Linked DNA regions of Callithrix jacchus. The protein of the gene in region 2 binds, or shares a complex with, the protein of the main gene of each other region. Links are inferred from orthologs where the notes say so. Each region holds a gene or a part of one and is shown on either strand. Other genes may lie near its edges.

What was found. Proteins that work in one complex are often made in the same cells at the same time.
Region 1: PHLDB2 (region 2) and PPFIBP1 share a complex: the UniProt entries of both Homo sapiens proteins name them as parts of the cortical microtubule stabilization complex. The link is inferred for Callithrix jacchus from reciprocal best matches to the Homo sapiens genes PHLDB2 and PPFIBP1.
Region 3: PHLDB2 (region 2) and PPFIA1 share a complex: the UniProt entries of both Homo sapiens proteins name them as parts of the cortical microtubule stabilization complex. The link is inferred for Callithrix jacchus from reciprocal best matches to the Homo sapiens genes PHLDB2 and PPFIA1.

What each region holds. Positions count from the first base shown.
Region 1 is NC_133510.1:43,717,475-43,723,251, forward strand, and holds the start of PPFIBP1 (liprin-beta-1), read right to left. Parts: upstream 3,444-5,777; 5' UTR 3,286-3,443; intron 1-3,285. UniProt on the Homo sapiens protein: May regulate the disassembly of focal adhesions. Did not bind receptor-like tyrosine phosphatases type 2A.
Region 2 is NC_133516.1:103,093,771-103,098,909, reverse strand, and holds part of PHLDB2 (pleckstrin homology-like domain family B member 2), read right to left. Parts: intron 1,669-5,139; coding exon 326-1,668; intron 1-325. UniProt on the Homo sapiens protein: Seems to be involved in the assembly of the postsynaptic apparatus. May play a role in acetyl-choline receptor (AChR) aggregation in the postsynaptic membrane.
Region 3 is NC_133511.1:127,207,090-127,212,828, forward strand, and holds the start of PPFIA1 (liprin-alpha-1), read left to right. Parts: upstream 1-2,296; 5' UTR 2,297-2,529; intron 2,530-2,754; exon of another isoform or gene 2,755-2,919; intron 2,920-3,224; exon of another isoform or gene 3,225-3,438; intron 3,439-3,756; coding exon 3,757-4,020; intron 4,021-5,739. UniProt on the Homo sapiens protein: May regulate the disassembly of focal adhesions. May localize receptor-like tyrosine phosphatases type 2A at specific sites on the plasma membrane, possibly regulating their interaction with the extracellular environment and their association with substrates.

The DNA of each region.
Region 1 (5,777 bases), on a different chromosome or scaffold from region 2:
AGTAACCCTAATAGCTTCAACTCTCATATTTAAATCCATCTGTTTGACCAGAGTTAAAAACAACAACAAAATAATCATGATAGTTATGATTATGGCTTCCTGAAATATTTCACAACTGGCTGCGCAACTGTGATATTTTTTCTTAATTTTAGATCCAATATGACTTTCTAAAGAAATCTCTGAAAATCACAACTGGCTGTGCAACTGTGATATTTTTTCTTAATTTTAGATCTAATATGACTTTCTAAAGAAATCTCTGAAAATAAAAATGTCATTATGCAAAACTTTCTGCCTATGTTTTCCCCTTGAAGCAACGTTTCTTTAATAAAGAATCAAGACACAAACCCAAACATGAATGAATATACATTCATTAATTCACTCCTTTACTCATTGTTTTGAAAAGGTAATTTAAACTAGGCCAGAGACATGTAACAACATCTTCGAAAAGACAGGCTGGGCACCCATGGCTCACTCCTTCAATCCTAGCACTTTGGGAGGTTGAGGTGGGTTGATCGTTTGAGCCCAGGAGTTCGAGACCAGCCTGAACAACATGGCGAAAACTTGCCTCTACTAACAATACAAAAATTAGCCAGGTGTGGTGGTGCGTGCCTGTAGTCCCAGGGGAGGCTGAGGTGGGAGAATTATTTGAACCTGGGTGGTAGAGGCTGCAGTGAGCCGAGATTGCGTCACTGCACTTCACCCAGGTTGACAGAGCGAGACCCTGTCTCAAAAAATACAAAAAACAAAAAGACAAGACAGAATACTGAATACAGTGTTCTTTCAGTTAACAGTTTGAAAACTATGCTGGTTTGGTATATAAATAAAAAGTTTTAATGTAACAAATTATCCATATAATCTAAATTAACTCATACAAATACTTTATGAATATGAAAGTTTTAAAAGAAGTTAGCTAGTCAGTAACTAAGGGAAAAATGACCTTTTCTAACTTATCTCATGCTAGTACAAGGAGTAATAAAGAGACTAAATAAACAGTTAATTAACCGTCCCTCAATGAACTTGTTCGCAAAAACTGTCAATGATGTCCTTGAAATTAGGCACTATTGATCTGGAACTTCCATGTGTCCTGGATTTCAGGACATTTTATCCATTAAGGCCAGATGACCTTAATTTTTAAAGTTGCTACTGGAAGTATGACAGTTGTTGGTCAAAGGAATTTAAACCTGATTCTACCTTTCTCAATAACTCAAACATCTCTTAAGTTGTCTGTGTTTTACTACACCATATCTGCCTCATAAACATGGACTGAGAAAAAGAAATATTGGTTTAAATTAAGTATGCAAAATTACTGCTATTACTCAAACTGTGAATCAAATTTAGAGTTTTGGTATATTCAAGTCCGTAAACTAGGACTAGTTTCTTGGAAAGAAAGTGTATATCTGAATTTGGCCCACAAGGATAACATCCTAAAGATACCCTTCTTTACTTAGCCATCTGGCTTTTGCAGCCCCATCTTTTGGTATTACAAATGCAGTTGGAACACTATCAGCCAAGGAACACTACAGTGAGTTCACATTAGCCCACAGAAACTCCACTCCACAGCTCTATCCTACTGAAAAAGTACACTAGAAAATACGATATGTTTTATGTACTCCCCCAAAGAACATAAATAGAAAAGACTTGTTCATCATTATTGCAGAGCCTTTTGCAATTTCTGTGTCTTAAGCCAAAACACAACCCAAAATTTAAATGTTCTTGTCTTTCCAATAAACCAAATTTTCCTTTCTCATAAAGCCTGCTATTTATCCACTCGATTTAATTTTTTCAGGAACTAAGAACAATACAGACCCAGATATTTCCTAAACAACAACACAACCAAACACTTCTTTCTAGTTACGCAACTTAAAGATCATCCGGCTAGAAAGACAGACAACTCCATCTATAGTCCTCTATCCCATTTCCTGACTTGGGTTTACTAGATGTACTGTTGTGACTTCTCTCTCCATCTCCTGGAAAAGCCTTTTCCTTCAGGGGCCTGGGATATGGATTTTGACTCTCAATGAAGTCCACTCCCATTTCCTCCAGACCTGGCAAGAGTAGGATCCTCACTGCTGAGGAGGGCTTCTGTGAAAGAAAGGGGAAAATTGACTCAGGAGTCTCAGCGCCTACTTTTTTTTTTTCCTGCTCCAGAAGAGAGCCTTAAAGCATTGATGAGAGGGTCCTGAATCAGTGTGTGGAGCCAATTTCCCCAACCCCTCAAGAAAGTCAATCACACCCAGTTAGTGACTGGGCACACAAAATGTCCACACAGGAAAAAGACACGGCTTGAAACAGGAAATAAACACAAATCAGGATTCTATTCTTTCACTTCTTAAAAGTATCTTTTTTCTCCCGACAGGCAATTGTTTTCTCAAAATACCAAACTTGGACTTTGAAATCAAGTTCTCTTTCTATTGCTCTCTACTGTTCTTACTGAAAGCAAGGATTTGTTTTGGTCCCACAGCTTCAAAAATTCACGTCCCTATAATTAAGAGTTCATATGCCGCGCCTTCCACCGCATTTCCCTGTTAAAACTCCCTTCTCTAAAAAAGATCCCTGAAAACACAACTATCAGCCAGCCCCTCAAGTGGCCAAAGGAAACAGATCTGAAGATTTTCACAGCCATCCTAACCTCTCCAGATACAAAGCTGGCAGCTGAAGGGATTCTCACTTAAAATATGAGTGACTACGAGTTGCAGTTTTAGAAGTGTGCCCCCAAGAGACGAGTGTTCCCACAAGCTCATAATTAATAAACACCCCAAGTGAATTCTCACATCCCGACTGGATTACACAAAAGGGCAGTTTACATTGATATGTAAGAATAACGTTGATATTCTTTCACTTAATATATAATAGGCCACTGGGAGATTAAAAAAAAAAATACAAAACTTTTTTTCCTTTCAACGAGCATAATTTTTGAATCAATGATTCATAACTTTTTGTGGCATTTTTAAATCCCCCAATACACATAGACAGAGACACACACACCCCTGGTTGGGGTTCTCAAGTATTACTGGGAGCCTAGGGTGCGGGGGTCTAAAGATACAGACAAGACCTACACGTCCAATCCTGGAGTATTCTTCACGCACAAGCTCAGGCGGGGCCCCAGGAGTTATGCCCTACCCCTCCACCCCCAGCACCCCCAAAAAGTGCCCGTTCCCATTGGGAAACAGGAGTGAGTTGGACAAGGAAATCCACCCGGGGAAGAAGAGCAGCTGCAACACCCAGCTGCAGCCACACAACGGTGCCACTTCCCTCCCGTCTCGGAGTGGAGCAAAACGCCCTTACCTGGGGGGTGGAGAGCCGCCGGCAGTAGTTCCAAAAGTTCTTGTCCACCTCCTCACGGAGTTCAAAGCCCAGTACTCCCGCCCCGCCGCCGGCTCGCAGCACACGAGTCCTTCCCGTCCCTTCTCCACCGTGCCTGCCCTACACCATGTCAGGAATCCGGGCAGGCATCGAGCTGGGAGCTGACATCACTCCCAGTTCCAGGTACCTCCCCCTCCCACTGCCGCCCTTCTCTCCTCCCTCCCTGCAGGAATCAGCCAAAGAGAGTCAGCAGGGGGGCGGGGCAGGAGGTGCCTACGCGCCCGATGATTGGACTCGGGGAACGTCACTCAGAGGAGTGCACTAATTTTATACATTCCTCGCCGAGCCAGACTAGGGCTGGAAGTGGGTGGATGGAAGAAAATGTTGCCCTTCCTACTATCTCTAAGGAACGGGGATAATGCGATAGGGAAGAACCTGGCGGGTCGAGTCTTAAACTTTTCTCGTCGTATTTGCTGCGATTCCAGATCAGAAACGAAACTAAGCCACCCGAACACCCTTTTTAAGGAGAAACAATTGCCTGGGTGTCACGGGCAAGTACGAGCCCGGCGGCGCGTGGTGTAGAAAATGGCTAGCTTTAAGCCATGCAAATAAAGGAAAACGTCAGCTCACCCTTCTGCCCTATTATCCTGGGACTGCTGGGTGTTCCCTTAGACGGGGAATGTAGAACTTCAAAAGCACTTCCGAAAGGTTTGGAAGAGACTCCTGAAAACGACCCAGCTGGTGGTGTTATCAGCCATGTGGCTGCTTTTGCTTTTAGCGACGAAAATCACATCACACAAGCTTCTCGGGCAAGTAAAATTGAATCTCTGAAGCAGGAAAAATAACACGTTTAAAGACCTTAAGGCTGCTGTTTTAATGCACACCCTGAAAAGGATAGAGGAAGGAGGGCTCACAATTGAGTTCCACAAAACACATGAGAATAATTACTGTTGAATGGAACGGAACCAACTGCAGTGGCTGAGCTATCAATTAAAAATTAACTAACATTTATCCTTGACAGATATCATGCGGTATAATCCCCTCGGCTGACAGAAAAGAAAGTATCAGAAGTTGGTTCTTCCAAGGCAGATACTGCTTAGAGGCAGAAATGAATGGTGAAAAGCAGCTTTATTTGTATGAGATATAGGCAGCATATAACCCACCATCTTCTAGAAATATAGTGAATTAATAACTTTCTATTGTTTTTCATTGGTTTTTTTTTTTTTTTTTTTGCTTATTTGTTTTGAAACGGCTCACTCTGTCACCCAGGCTAAAGTGCGGTGGCATGATCTGGCTCAATGCAACCTCCTCCTCCCGGGTTCAAGTGATTCTCCTGCCTCAGCCTCCGATTAGCTGGGACTACAGGCCCCGACCACCACACCCACTAATTTTTGTATTTTTAGTAAACACAGGGTTTCCGCCATGTTGGTCAGGCTGGCCTCGAAATCCTGACCTCAGGTGATCTGCCGGTGTCAGCCTCCCAAAGTGCTGGGATTACTGAACCTCATTGTTTTTTAATTAATGACATGCCATACATTTCACCAATCTGCCAAAATTTGTAGAGGGATGCACAGAATCCACCATTGTGTCATGCTTAATCTTCACAATCATCCTGTAAATTGAGTGTTATTAGTGTTATTTTAACAGAGGGAATCAAAGGCTCAGCAAAGTTATGTAAGTAAATTTCTCCAGATCACCTAGAACTTGTATTGAAACCAAGGTGTATTTGACTCCAAAGTCATTTTTTTCTTTCCGTACTTAAAGTATTGAGTGTCCACAATTTACACTCTTTCAAACAATAGAATGCTACAAGAAACCCACAGTCTTGGGCCACTGCTCTCAAAAACCTACTTTATATCATTACCATCTTATTACTTGTCAGACCTGCACTATTCCAAACTCGTAACTTGAATTTCTGACTTCAGTTTCCCCCAGTTCTAATTCTTTCTCTGCACCACTACCACATGAGTTTGCTAAAACGTTTGGTTTTGTCATCAACATCTTCCCCTCTAAATCATGTCCCCCTTTCCCTGCAATTCTTATCTAGCTATTTAAAACTCTCCCTCTTCTGGCTTCTACTTAACCTTTCCCAGCTTATCTCCCACTTTGCTCCCGGGAATCAGTCTCTGTAGTCAAACAGGTCTACTCACAGATCCCTGCTTCATTCTTACCTTTCAGCCTAACCGGAATCCCCATTCAGGTGTTTAAGTCCCACCCTTCTCTCAAAGCCTAATTAAATTTAAGTCCTTGTCCTCTGCCAAGACTTAGCTGTGTGCATTGAACAGAAAAAAGGACTCAAGGTTCTTGGCCTGGCTCTGCCACTTACCTATTGAGTAACTTTGGGCAAGTCATTAAAACATCCATCCCGAACCTTAGTTACCTCTGCTTTAAAATAGGGCTGGGAATACCTACGTTAAAGGTTGTTATAAGCATTGAGATTGTACAGATGTGTAAACGTGGTTATACATGTCCAG
Region 2 (5,139 bases):
TCATAGTCTTAAAGAGAAGCTTGTAAGATTCGGAAATTTCATAAAAGTCTCAACCCCTCTGTCATGTTTTTCAAGAGTTTATACTTGTGAGGAGTTCACAGATCAACTAAATTAACTGCTGTAGGCCTTCAGGATAGCCAAACATGCCTATGAATAGTGATCTGGGAAGAGGAAGGACAGCAGGAGAGAAGAGAACCATAGCAGCTATGACTAGTGAGCACGAAAATCCTGCATTCCCACGTATCCTGGAGTTGGTCTACAAGGCTGCCCTGTAGATACTGGTTAATGAAACAGTGAGGTCAATCATTGCTGGGGTGAACATTACCAATCGCTCCATCTCCTGCTCCCTGAGTCTTTCCTCCCTCTGCCGCCGGTGATAATCCATCAGGTCCTCACGCCCTGAAATGGAGCTAATGCTGCTTTTCCGTTCCCGAAGGACAGGCTGGGGGGTTCCTAAGGCCTGTCTGAGGCTTTCCAAATCAGCCTCATCAGACTCCACAGATCCACAAGAGAAGTTCCGCCTGGTCACAAACACTCTGTCTGATTCTTCAGCTAAAAGTGAATGACTTGAGTTTGTCCCGGCGTATGAAGCCCGATCAAAGTCATCAGAGACGCAGGAGGAGGTGGAGGCCAGAAGCATCTTCCGAGCTACTCGAGGACTGGCAGGGACACTGAGGGTAGAACTTACATAAGGATTGCCGTCAGAAGCAGAGGTTTTATAGGGTAAAGCCCCTGAGCTCAAAGAAGAAAAATTAAGGTAATTGTCGTTGTCTATTATGCTATGAGGTAGATCCTTTTCCCCAAGTTTTGTTCGTTTGGAATTGCCCAGAGAGTTTCTCGGAGGCAAGCTGAGGGGTGTCAGCTGGTTCTCTGTGGCTTTGTACAACCTGGGAAGTGACCGGCTGTAGGCTCCCATGTGACTCAGGCTGCTGCTGGGGTACTTCCTGGTTCTCAGATTGATGTTTTCAGATGCCAGCTCCTTGTGTCTGGTTAACTTGGGTTGGAGCAGCAGGCTGTCCTGAATGCTCATTTTCCTGCCTTGCTTTGGGCTTGAAGGTGTGCTTGCAGCTCCCGATCTGCTGAGAGGAGGGGGGCCGGCATCACTCAGGGAACTTCCATTCCACATGGCTAGGAGCGAGCCAGATGCCTGCCGACCTTCCAGGCCTCCCAGAAAGCAGACATTGTCATGCGATTTATTCCTGGAGCTATGTTTGGAATAGGGAGGCTTCTCTGAGAGCCTCCAGGCCCTTTCGCTGTCCCGGCCAGAATAAGGGTCAAAGTCTGCTCTTCCAAGTGGATATCCACTGAGGGAGGATGTAATGCTGAGTGAAGGAGTTGGAGGTTTCATGGAAATAGTTTTGTCAGTTCCATCATACGAGAACTGCTTGCTTCCCTGGATTTTGGCTAAGGAGGAGCTGCTTCTGACACTGGTTGCCACAGGAGAAGGGCTTCTCTTTGCAGGCACAGGTTGTGAGAGGGTTAAATAGGAGCCAGAATAGTCCCCATTGGCCTTAAATCTCAGACTGGAAGAGTACTTCTTTGGGCTAAGGCTCTCCATCACGTTTTGGAAATCGTTCTCAGTCGAATGCACCACAGAGTCTCCCTTTAAGCTCCCATTTTGTAAATCTAGCTCCTTTTGGCTATGCTCTTCCATAATCTTGCTGGAATCTGTAAAGAAATAAAAGAGAACACTTTTATTTTATTTCTGTAAAGAAATAAAAGAGAACACTTATTTAAAAAAAGATTTTAAAAGAACTGTTCCCTGTTAGGCCTACATCTCAACAAATAATCTTTCAGTCTGACCTAATGCAACTAACAAGCACATACTCAGTTTTACTAGTAATCCTGTTAAAACTGTACAGCAAATCGAAGAAGAATAAAGACCTTTTTATTGCTGTCCTTTTAAGTTACTTTTCTTTTGTACATAAGATATTCCAGAAGTTTGGGATATCCAGAAGATACCTTCTGGGATATCTTATGTACAAAAGAAAAATAAAAGGACAGCAATGACATTTGAGGGAAACAAATCTCTAACCAAGGAAAGGTGCAGGATTAAGCTGGTACATAAAAAAGACAATTTCTCCTTGATGTTCTGGCTCCTAGTGGAAAACCTGCTTCCCTAGTGACTAGCTAATGCTCAAAGGCATAATGCAATGGACCTTCCTACAGACGTCTCTGCTAGAAACATTAACTGCTCAGAAATAAAGTCTCAAGGAAACAAAATTCACACTTGGGAAGAGAAAGAAAAGTTTATGTTAGACACTGTTCAATAACATGAGGGTTAGAAGACGGTTCTTTAAATGTGGGCTCTGGGAGTTACCTTCTCAACAAGAAGAGTTAAAGGTCCTTTAGTCGTCAGAGGCAGGTGACAACAAAGAAAAAGGTATTCCACAAACTACTGACACGTGGTCAGGACGGTCTATTTAAAAAGCTGACACTGTTATAGCCTTCAAATTTTCTAGTACCCCAAATGCACTCCGCTATTCCTTGCAAATCCTCTCTTCTAGCAGAAACACCTATCAGGACCAACCTACTCTTCCAGGGACAGATCAGGTTTCTACCTTCCAGGATTACAATTTTTAAGAAAATGGGTTTGAACAGCGTTCACTTAAGAAACTAAAGCTTTAGCCTATGGAAATGTCTTTGAGTTACAAACTATTACCGCAAACGGAAAGGCTTATATTTCTAACTGATAAAAAAGGAGTTTCTTAGATTATCAGCAATGGGAAAATACAACTTAAACATTGTCATTGAACCTATGAGCCACTAAAACTGTCCTCCAGGCCTTGGGCACATCAGACACTAACTATGACCTCTCTGGTGATATAGAAACAGTATCACATATGGTTAGTAATGGTTTCACAATGTGGTGGTCTCTGTAACTAAGCCACAAGTTTAAGGAAGAGGTTCTGTCTAGCATTTTTACCTTACTGCCACCCCTCTAGCTCTCGTTGCCCCATAGGTGAGAAACTCAATGAACCCAAGCTTTTTGTTTTTTTTTTGAGACGGAGTTTCGTTCTTGTTACCCAGGCTGGAGTGCAATGGTGCGATCTCAGCTCACCGCAACCTCCGCCTCCTGGGTTCAGGCAATTCTCCTGCCTCAGTCTCCCGAGTAGCTGGGATTACAGGAGAGTGCCACCATGCCCAGCTAATTTTTTGTATTTTTAGTAGAGACGGGGTTTCACCATGTTGACCAGGATGGTCTCGATCTCTTGACCTTGGGATCCACCCGCCTCGGCCTCCCAAAGTGCTGGGATTACAGGCTTGAGCCACCGCGCCCGGCCCCAAGCTTTTCATTTTAACTAAAGCCTTCCTCACTCCCTCCCAGCCATGGACTAATGACCTTCACCCTGCTGCTCAGCTTCATATACTTTCTGAGCAAATTCAGGCAGCCTAGTAAAGACCTGCTTCTTTATCCACAAGGCCAAGAAACAGTCTGGCTGCCTAAATGCTGGTGACGGGCCACTGACTCAGCTGCCCCTAGAGGTGAAGCCTTCCCCAACAAACTCTGCCTCGGGCTCCTTATCCTCTAACCCAAAGCCCTTTCCCGAGACTTACAAACATAATTCATCTTTTTAAATGTACCTCAAAAAAAAATCAAGTTTTCTCATTCTATTTGCCTCCCAGCTGGGATCCAGTCCTGCCATCTAGTTCTCGGGAAGTCTTTCATTCCTGAGGGACAGGGCCCTTTCCGCCCCCAAGACAAACGTTCCTCTCGGCATGTGTCTACCACTATCGGTTCTGGTTTTAAAGGCAACACCAGCCTGGTATGAGGCATATCTCACCCGCTCAGAGGACTGAAACTGAGACTCTTCTATTCTGAACTGGCATCCCCTCTCATTGGTTTGCCATGCTGAAATTCCAGCAAGCTTTGGACAACTGTCTCAAGTTAAACACTCTGGAACTGAAAAAATAAGGAAATAGATGGATCCTGAGGACATTAAGGACAACTTAATAGAGAAAAAATTTCTAAACCACTGCCAGATGATGAAGAAGATGCAGAAGAAGCAGTACGAGAAAACACACCGACATTACGCATCCTGGCAGAAGGGTTCTGATTATTCAAGACTGCTGTTGGCTTCTCTTACAACGCGGACCCTTCCATGATACAGGTACTGAACCACAGCAAACGGCTGAAGGAGGATTGGTCCCATAAAAAACATTTTTAGGGGGTGTAGGGGAGAGACAGCGGGGGATGGGGAGGGATAACATGGGGAGAAATGCCAGATACAGTATGCACCTGAAGTGAAATCAATACATTTTAAAAATTAAAAACAAATAAATAACATTTTTAGAGAAATTTAAAAAGTAAAAAGTTTACTTTTTGTAAAATTACACTTTACAAAAAAGCATAAAGTTACACTGATTGTGCCTACCTGTTCTGCCTCCCCTTTGCTACCCCAGAGGCATCAAAACCAGCTTCTCCGCTTCCTCTGAAGACCTTCAAGATGATCCACTTCCACTTAATAAATAAATATATTTTCTCTTCCTTATGAACAACTTAATAACCTCTTTTCTCTAAATTACTTTATTATGATAGTACAGTAGATCATACATATATTAAAATATGTGTTAATTGGCTTTATTAGCAAGGTTTCCGGTCAATGGCAGGCTAACAGTAGTTAAGCTCTGGGGGAGTAAAAAGCTATCTGCAGATTTCCAATTCAGCGGAGTTGTTCAAGAGTCAGCTGTACATACACACAACCATACACACAGGTGGGGATCAAGCCAAAATCCTGGGAATCAGCACTGGCCTCCTCTGTCACTAGCACCCCCTTCCTCATTTTATCCATCTCTAAATTCTACCAACACTGTCCTTAAAACATTCTGAATGTGATCACTTCTTAGCATTTCCACCGCAGCCTCTCTAGTATGAGGCAGAATCTTCTCTGGGCTCCCCCATGTGCCTGTTCTTCCACAACAATAATAACAATTACAATGGACTGGAAGAAATTACACCAAAAAAAAAATTAGTAGTGGTTTTATTTGGATGGTAGTTTTACCAGCGATTTTTAACACCTCTCTCATACTAGTTTATATTTTCTACATTTTATGTAGTATGTTTGGACTGTTTTGACAACCAGAAAAAAAAAATACTCACTTAGCATAAAATACTAGAATATGTAGCGACACTTCATT
Region 3 (5,739 bases), on a different chromosome or scaffold from region 2:
ACTAAATTCTGATCTTGTGCCGAATTCTTAGGAAACAGACACTTCGTGAGCATGGTGCAAACATAAGCTGGATACATTAAGCAGGTACCCCTAAGGAGAGCTGGGAATTTGCTGGTTTCAAACAGTGGTTCAGGAGAACTTGGGAGTTGTGAGAATTGCTGGTGTGTGGAGAGGTACAGGGTACTTGCAGAACGTGTCATCTAAGTGATCATCTTTACAGTTTCATTTTTTATTTTTGAGATGAGGTCTCACTTTGTCATCTAGGCCAGAGTGCAGTGGCACAATCTCAGCTCACTGCAGCCTCCACCTCTCAGGCTCAAGTGATCCTTCCACCTCAGCCTTGGCTCACCACGCTGGACTAAGTTTTAATTTTTTTTTTGAGACGGAGTTTCGCTCTTGTTACCCAGGCTGGAGTGCAATGCGATCTCGGCTCACCGCAACCTCCGCCTCCTGGGTTCAGGCAATTCTGCCTCAGCCTCCCGAGTAGCTGGGATTACAGGCACGCGCCACCATGCCCAGCTAATTTTTTGTATTTTTAGTAGAGGCGGGGTTTCACCATGTTGACCGGGATGGTCTCGATCTCTCGACCTCGTGATCCACCCGTCTCGGCCTCCCAAAGTGCTGGGATTACACCCTTGAGCCACCGCGCCCGGCCAAGTTTTAATTTTTTTGTATAGACACAGGCTTCCCTGTATTGCCCAGGCTCAAGCAATCCTCCAAGTTGGCCTCCCAAAGTGCTGGGATTACCAGACGTGAGCCACTGCACCTTGCCTCAGGCTGGAGTTCCAGGGAAAGATCTTGGCTCACTGCAACCTCAGCCTCCCAGGTTCGAGTGATTCTTCCACCTCACCCTCCTGAGTAGCTGGGATTACAGATGCCCACCACCACACCTGGCTAATTTTTTTGTATTTTTCGTAGGGATGGGGCTTCACCATGTTGGCCAGGCTGGTTTTTGTAGGGTTGGTGCTTCACCATGTTGACCTTGTGATCCACCAGCCTAGGCCTCCCAAAGTGCTGGGATTACAGGCGTGAGCCACTGCACCTGGCCTCACCTGGCCATTAACGTGTTTAAAATAGCAAGAAACTAGGGGCAAAAAGCACAAATTCATGTTTACATGTAGTCAGTCAATAAATATTTATCGAATGAATGAATAAATTAATGGCAGGTGTACCAGACCCTGGTAGGTGAGAAAGTTAGTCGGAGGTAGTGCTTGTTCTCCGTGCGTTCACAAGGTGGAATCAGGGAATTCACCTTGGACGGGCTCACGTTTCCCTCTCCTAGCCCCTATGCAGCCTGTTCTCAGACTTGATTCGTTCTGAGGGGCTCTTGGCTGCCTCACACCAACAGCAGTGGTCAGTGGAGACCGGCGATGGTCTCCTGACATGTTGGTTTGTGAAGACCAGCGCTCGAGTCAAATTCTGGGAAGATCGGGAGAGCATCCGCTTTAATTTACTAAATTTATTAGCGGCGTCTCTATTCATCTCCGTGTCTGCAACATCCAGCACAGGACCTGGCCCATGGTAGGTGTTTAAAAATGCTTGCGGAAAAGATCAAATGACCAAGCCTCGTGCAGTGCTGCCCGTCAGCTTCTCAACCAGTCGCTCTTTACATCTGATTGACATCTTAAAGCAGCCTGGCAGGTAGGTCTCCATCATTTTCCCATCCCACATCGGAGGCGCTGAAGCCCAGGCGTGTTTCCCGAGTCGCCCGGACCCACCGGGCCCTCGCTGCAGTGTGAAACCACAGCGGCAAAGTCTGCCCGCTGGACGCTGCGCCGGGGCGTCCCCAGGTGCGGCAGGCAGCGCTCAGTAAGTGGGTCCTGGAGGGAAGCGCGTCCTTCTGAACCCAGATCAGGCCCGGGGAGACTCTGGGAGCGACGCGGAGGGCGCAGTCGGGGCCCCAGGCGGTGGCTGAAGCCTTGGCTCGCTCTGCCGCAAGATGGGAATCCAGAGCCTCCAGCTCGGGAGGGACCTGACGTGCCGGACTGGTCCGGCTCAGAACCCGAGGCGCGGCGGACTGACGCTCGGCAGAGGCCTCCGCTGTACCTGCAGCTGTGGGAGGAGACTGGGGACCCCGCGAGCACCTGAGCTCCCACCTGTGGCTCATCCCGGGGACGCCGCCCCCAACCTGGGCGTGGAATGGAAGGGCGGGGCTCCGTCACGTTCAGCCAATCAGCGCCCTGAAGCCGCCGGCCGCCCCCTCCTGAGGAGACGGCACTTGCGCACTCGGGCCGCAGAGCTCCTCGGGCCCCGCCCCCGGGGCAGTGCTGACGCTCGCGCCGACGCGCCCGACGTCGGGCACGTTGACGCCGGCGCCGCGCAGCCGGGCCCGCTCCTCCTCCGCTCCGCCAGTGTCCGGCCGCGGGCCGGCCTTAGTGACTGGGGCGGCGGGCCCCGGGGCCGCGGCGTGGGGCGGGCAGGCTGACGCCGGCCGCGGGCTGCCTTCGTCTGTTCTCAAGCTCGCCTGGAGCGAGCAGCCGCCCGCGAGCCGCCGCAGAGCCTCCTCGTCCGCTCCCGCCGGCGAGCAAGGTAAGGGAGCGGGACACTGAGGCAGACCCGGGGCCCAGGCGTTCCCGGCGGGTCCCGATCCCCGCGGCGGCCGCGCAGCCGATTGGATGTCTTGGCGGGGAAGGGTGCGCTCCGGGGCGGGCGGGGGCGAGGCGGTAGGGGAGCTCCGGCGGGACCCCCGCGCCCCGAGGGACGGCTCCGGGGGCTGCGTGACGCCCCTGCCCGAGCCCCGCGCCCCGTGACCCTGGCGCTGGGGCGAGGGGCGGGGACCTGCGGCCGCTGAAAGCCCCGGCCCGGGCGGGCTCTGCTGTCAACGGTCCTCACCCCCGGGGTCCTGGGCTCCCGCCGCATCTGCTACAGGAGGGGAAGGAGTGCGGGCGCGAGCAGGCTGGAGGTAACCATCCGCATCAGGTGCGCGGTCTTGGGCATCCTCCTCTCGGGGGTCCACCGCACCCCGAATACTTGCCTTAAGGCTCAGAAGCGACTTCCCGTTCCCCTCCCGCCGTCTTTAGATTCCAGACACTTAATAGTCTCTCATAATCTCACCTTTCACTTTTCCTTCTTTCCTAGCCGCCCCGGGCTGTATCGACCTGCTATATTTCCATTGTGGAATTTTTTTTTTTTTTTTTTTTCCGGTTGTAAACTTACGTAAGTTAGGTTGACTGACCAACCGTTGCAGCCGTTGAAAAACACTTCTACCAGCGTGTAACGAATTCAGTTCTTTTTAGTGCTCACCGAATCCAGCCCAAGAATTCAGGGAGCCGGCCGTTCTTCCCGGGAGCTGACCGCACACATTCCTGCAAGATGCCTGATGGATTTTGTACTTGTCAGTTTTGTTGGCTGTGTGCTCCTTCTGTGCTTTTCCTGAAAAATGATTGGGTGACATGTGTTTTGACTTTCTCTCCCCCCACTGGGAAGTAGAAAAAACAGGTAACAGAAGCACACTTGTTTTCCACGAAAACGTACAGCTTTGCTAAAAGACCACCCCAGGGTTTGCCTTTTTTGTTGTTGCTGTTAGGGCAGTCCTCTGGGATCCTGACTCCCTCCCTGGGTTTTTGTCCGTGTTGATGTCTTCATGTCGTGTATTTCTGCACTTAATATTTGCCCCGTGTGTGTATGTTCTCAGCTTCTTTACATACAAAGCATACCAGTTCTGAGAATAATGCGGCTGCCCATCTTTTTAGCTACAGATACTGTGGGAACCTGTATTCGCACTTAGTGACCGTAGCTTGGGGCCTTGATTTCCAGATGATGTGCGAGGTGATGCCGACCATCAGCGAAGCAGAAGGTCCCCCTGGAGGAAGCGGAAGCCATGGGTCTGGCTCCCCTTCACAGCCGGACACAGATTCACATTTCGAACAGTTGATGGTCTCCATGCTAGAAGAAAGGGACCGTCTTCTTGACACACTGAGAGAGACTCAAGAAACGCTGGCATTAACCCAGGGGAAGTTACACGAGGTTGGTCATGAAAGAGATTCCTTGCAGAGACAGCTCAACACGGCACTTCCGCAGGTATGAGTGCTTTTAACCTGGAACTCTATAGATGCTTTGTTAATGTTTCAGATGAGCATTTTCCGTAACCATTTGTGAAATGATGGTTTCTGGTGTTTGTAAGTCAAATACAAAGTTCCTAGGGATTAAACCTCTTAGGGAGAACAAACTGTTGTACTCTAAAGTCCTGTGAAAAGACCTCATTATTTTCATTCCTGTCTTTGGGAACTGCCTGGGTTCAGGAAGTTCGTTCTCCAGAGTTGTTGAAAAACGGCTCTGAAGCCGCAATCTATACGGTGCCTCTGTTCTGTTGTCTTAGCCTTTTCTTCCTAGACTTGTTCTTCCCACGGATTGTGTCTCTCATGTATTTCCAATTTCCTAATGAAATTTCATGGACAAATAGGATTGATTTCACAGAAAAAAATATTTTGATAGCCCACCTTTTTCAGAACACCTAGGTTTTTGTAAGTCACATTTGTTTTAGGGGATAGAAGACTGGAAATTGATTCCCTTAGAAACTTTTTCCTTGGCAGATGAGAATTTTAAAGCTTAGGCCGAATGTGGTGGCTCATGTCTGTAATCCCAGCACTCTGGGAGACCGAAGCAGGTGGATCACCTGAAATCAGGAGTTCGAGACCAGCCTGGCCAGCATGGCAAAACCAAAAACACAAAAATTAGTGGAGCATGATGGCACACACCTGTAGTCCCAGCTATTCTCGAGCTGAGGCATGAGAATTACTTGAACCCGGGAGGAGGAGGTTGCAGTGAGCCAAGATTGCACCACTGCTTTCCAACCTGGGTGACAGAGCTAGACACTGTTTCACTGTCTCAAAAAAAAAAAAAAAAAAAAAAGGTTTTTAAAGCTTAGAACAACTGAAATTGTTTCTCTGAGTATATAACATTTGGACCAGTGTTTGAAAGACTTTGCTCATGGAGTTGAATGAGGATGAATTAGTGGTAGGTAAACGGAGGAGGGGTAAAAACTAGAAAAGTGTGAGGTGAGTGGCGCGGAGCACAGTAGGAGAGAAGTGGGTTACTTAGGTGGTTCAGAGCCCTCTAGGTGCCATGTCACTTACCACAGGTGCCTTCGCGGTGCCTTCAGGTAGACCTGCGTAATCATAGGCTTATACTCGCATGATGGTCTGCAGTGATACATTCACAAATGAGTAAACTAGCCTTGACGTACTTCTGGGCTGTAGTCAGTTCTCCTGACAGATTGATGAGCCCAACGTGCATTTCCTTTTTAGCAACAGTAATTTGATGTTAGCACTATGTGTTCCTTTTTGTTGGGTTAGAGAAATATTAAGATTTTTCTCAATTCAATTTTAGAGACCACCAAGTTTATTTAGGTCACATTTTATTACTACAAGTTGAAAATAATTAGCCTATTTATGTTTTACCAGGATTTTGTTTTATTTGTAATTTAAGGTACATGTATTGAAGTGTATATCAAATACTAATGTGATGAATAAGGTGGGTTTGGGAAAGAATGGGCACATGTCAGGGAAGTGACAGGAGCTTTGTACAGTTAGTCTCAGGCTGCAGAGGTTGTCACACTGGTGACAGGGTTGCTCAGTGATTTGTTTCTGGTACTGCTCAGTGTAGTAGCCTGGAAGTGCCTAGTTCTGCGGATAATGCGACGATGCCAGTGGTTCACGTCACCACCTGAGCACCTGATTCCAGGCTTTCAAAGATGGAAACTATTAAGTCAACTTGTTTTGGACCCTTCCCTGTCCTGGA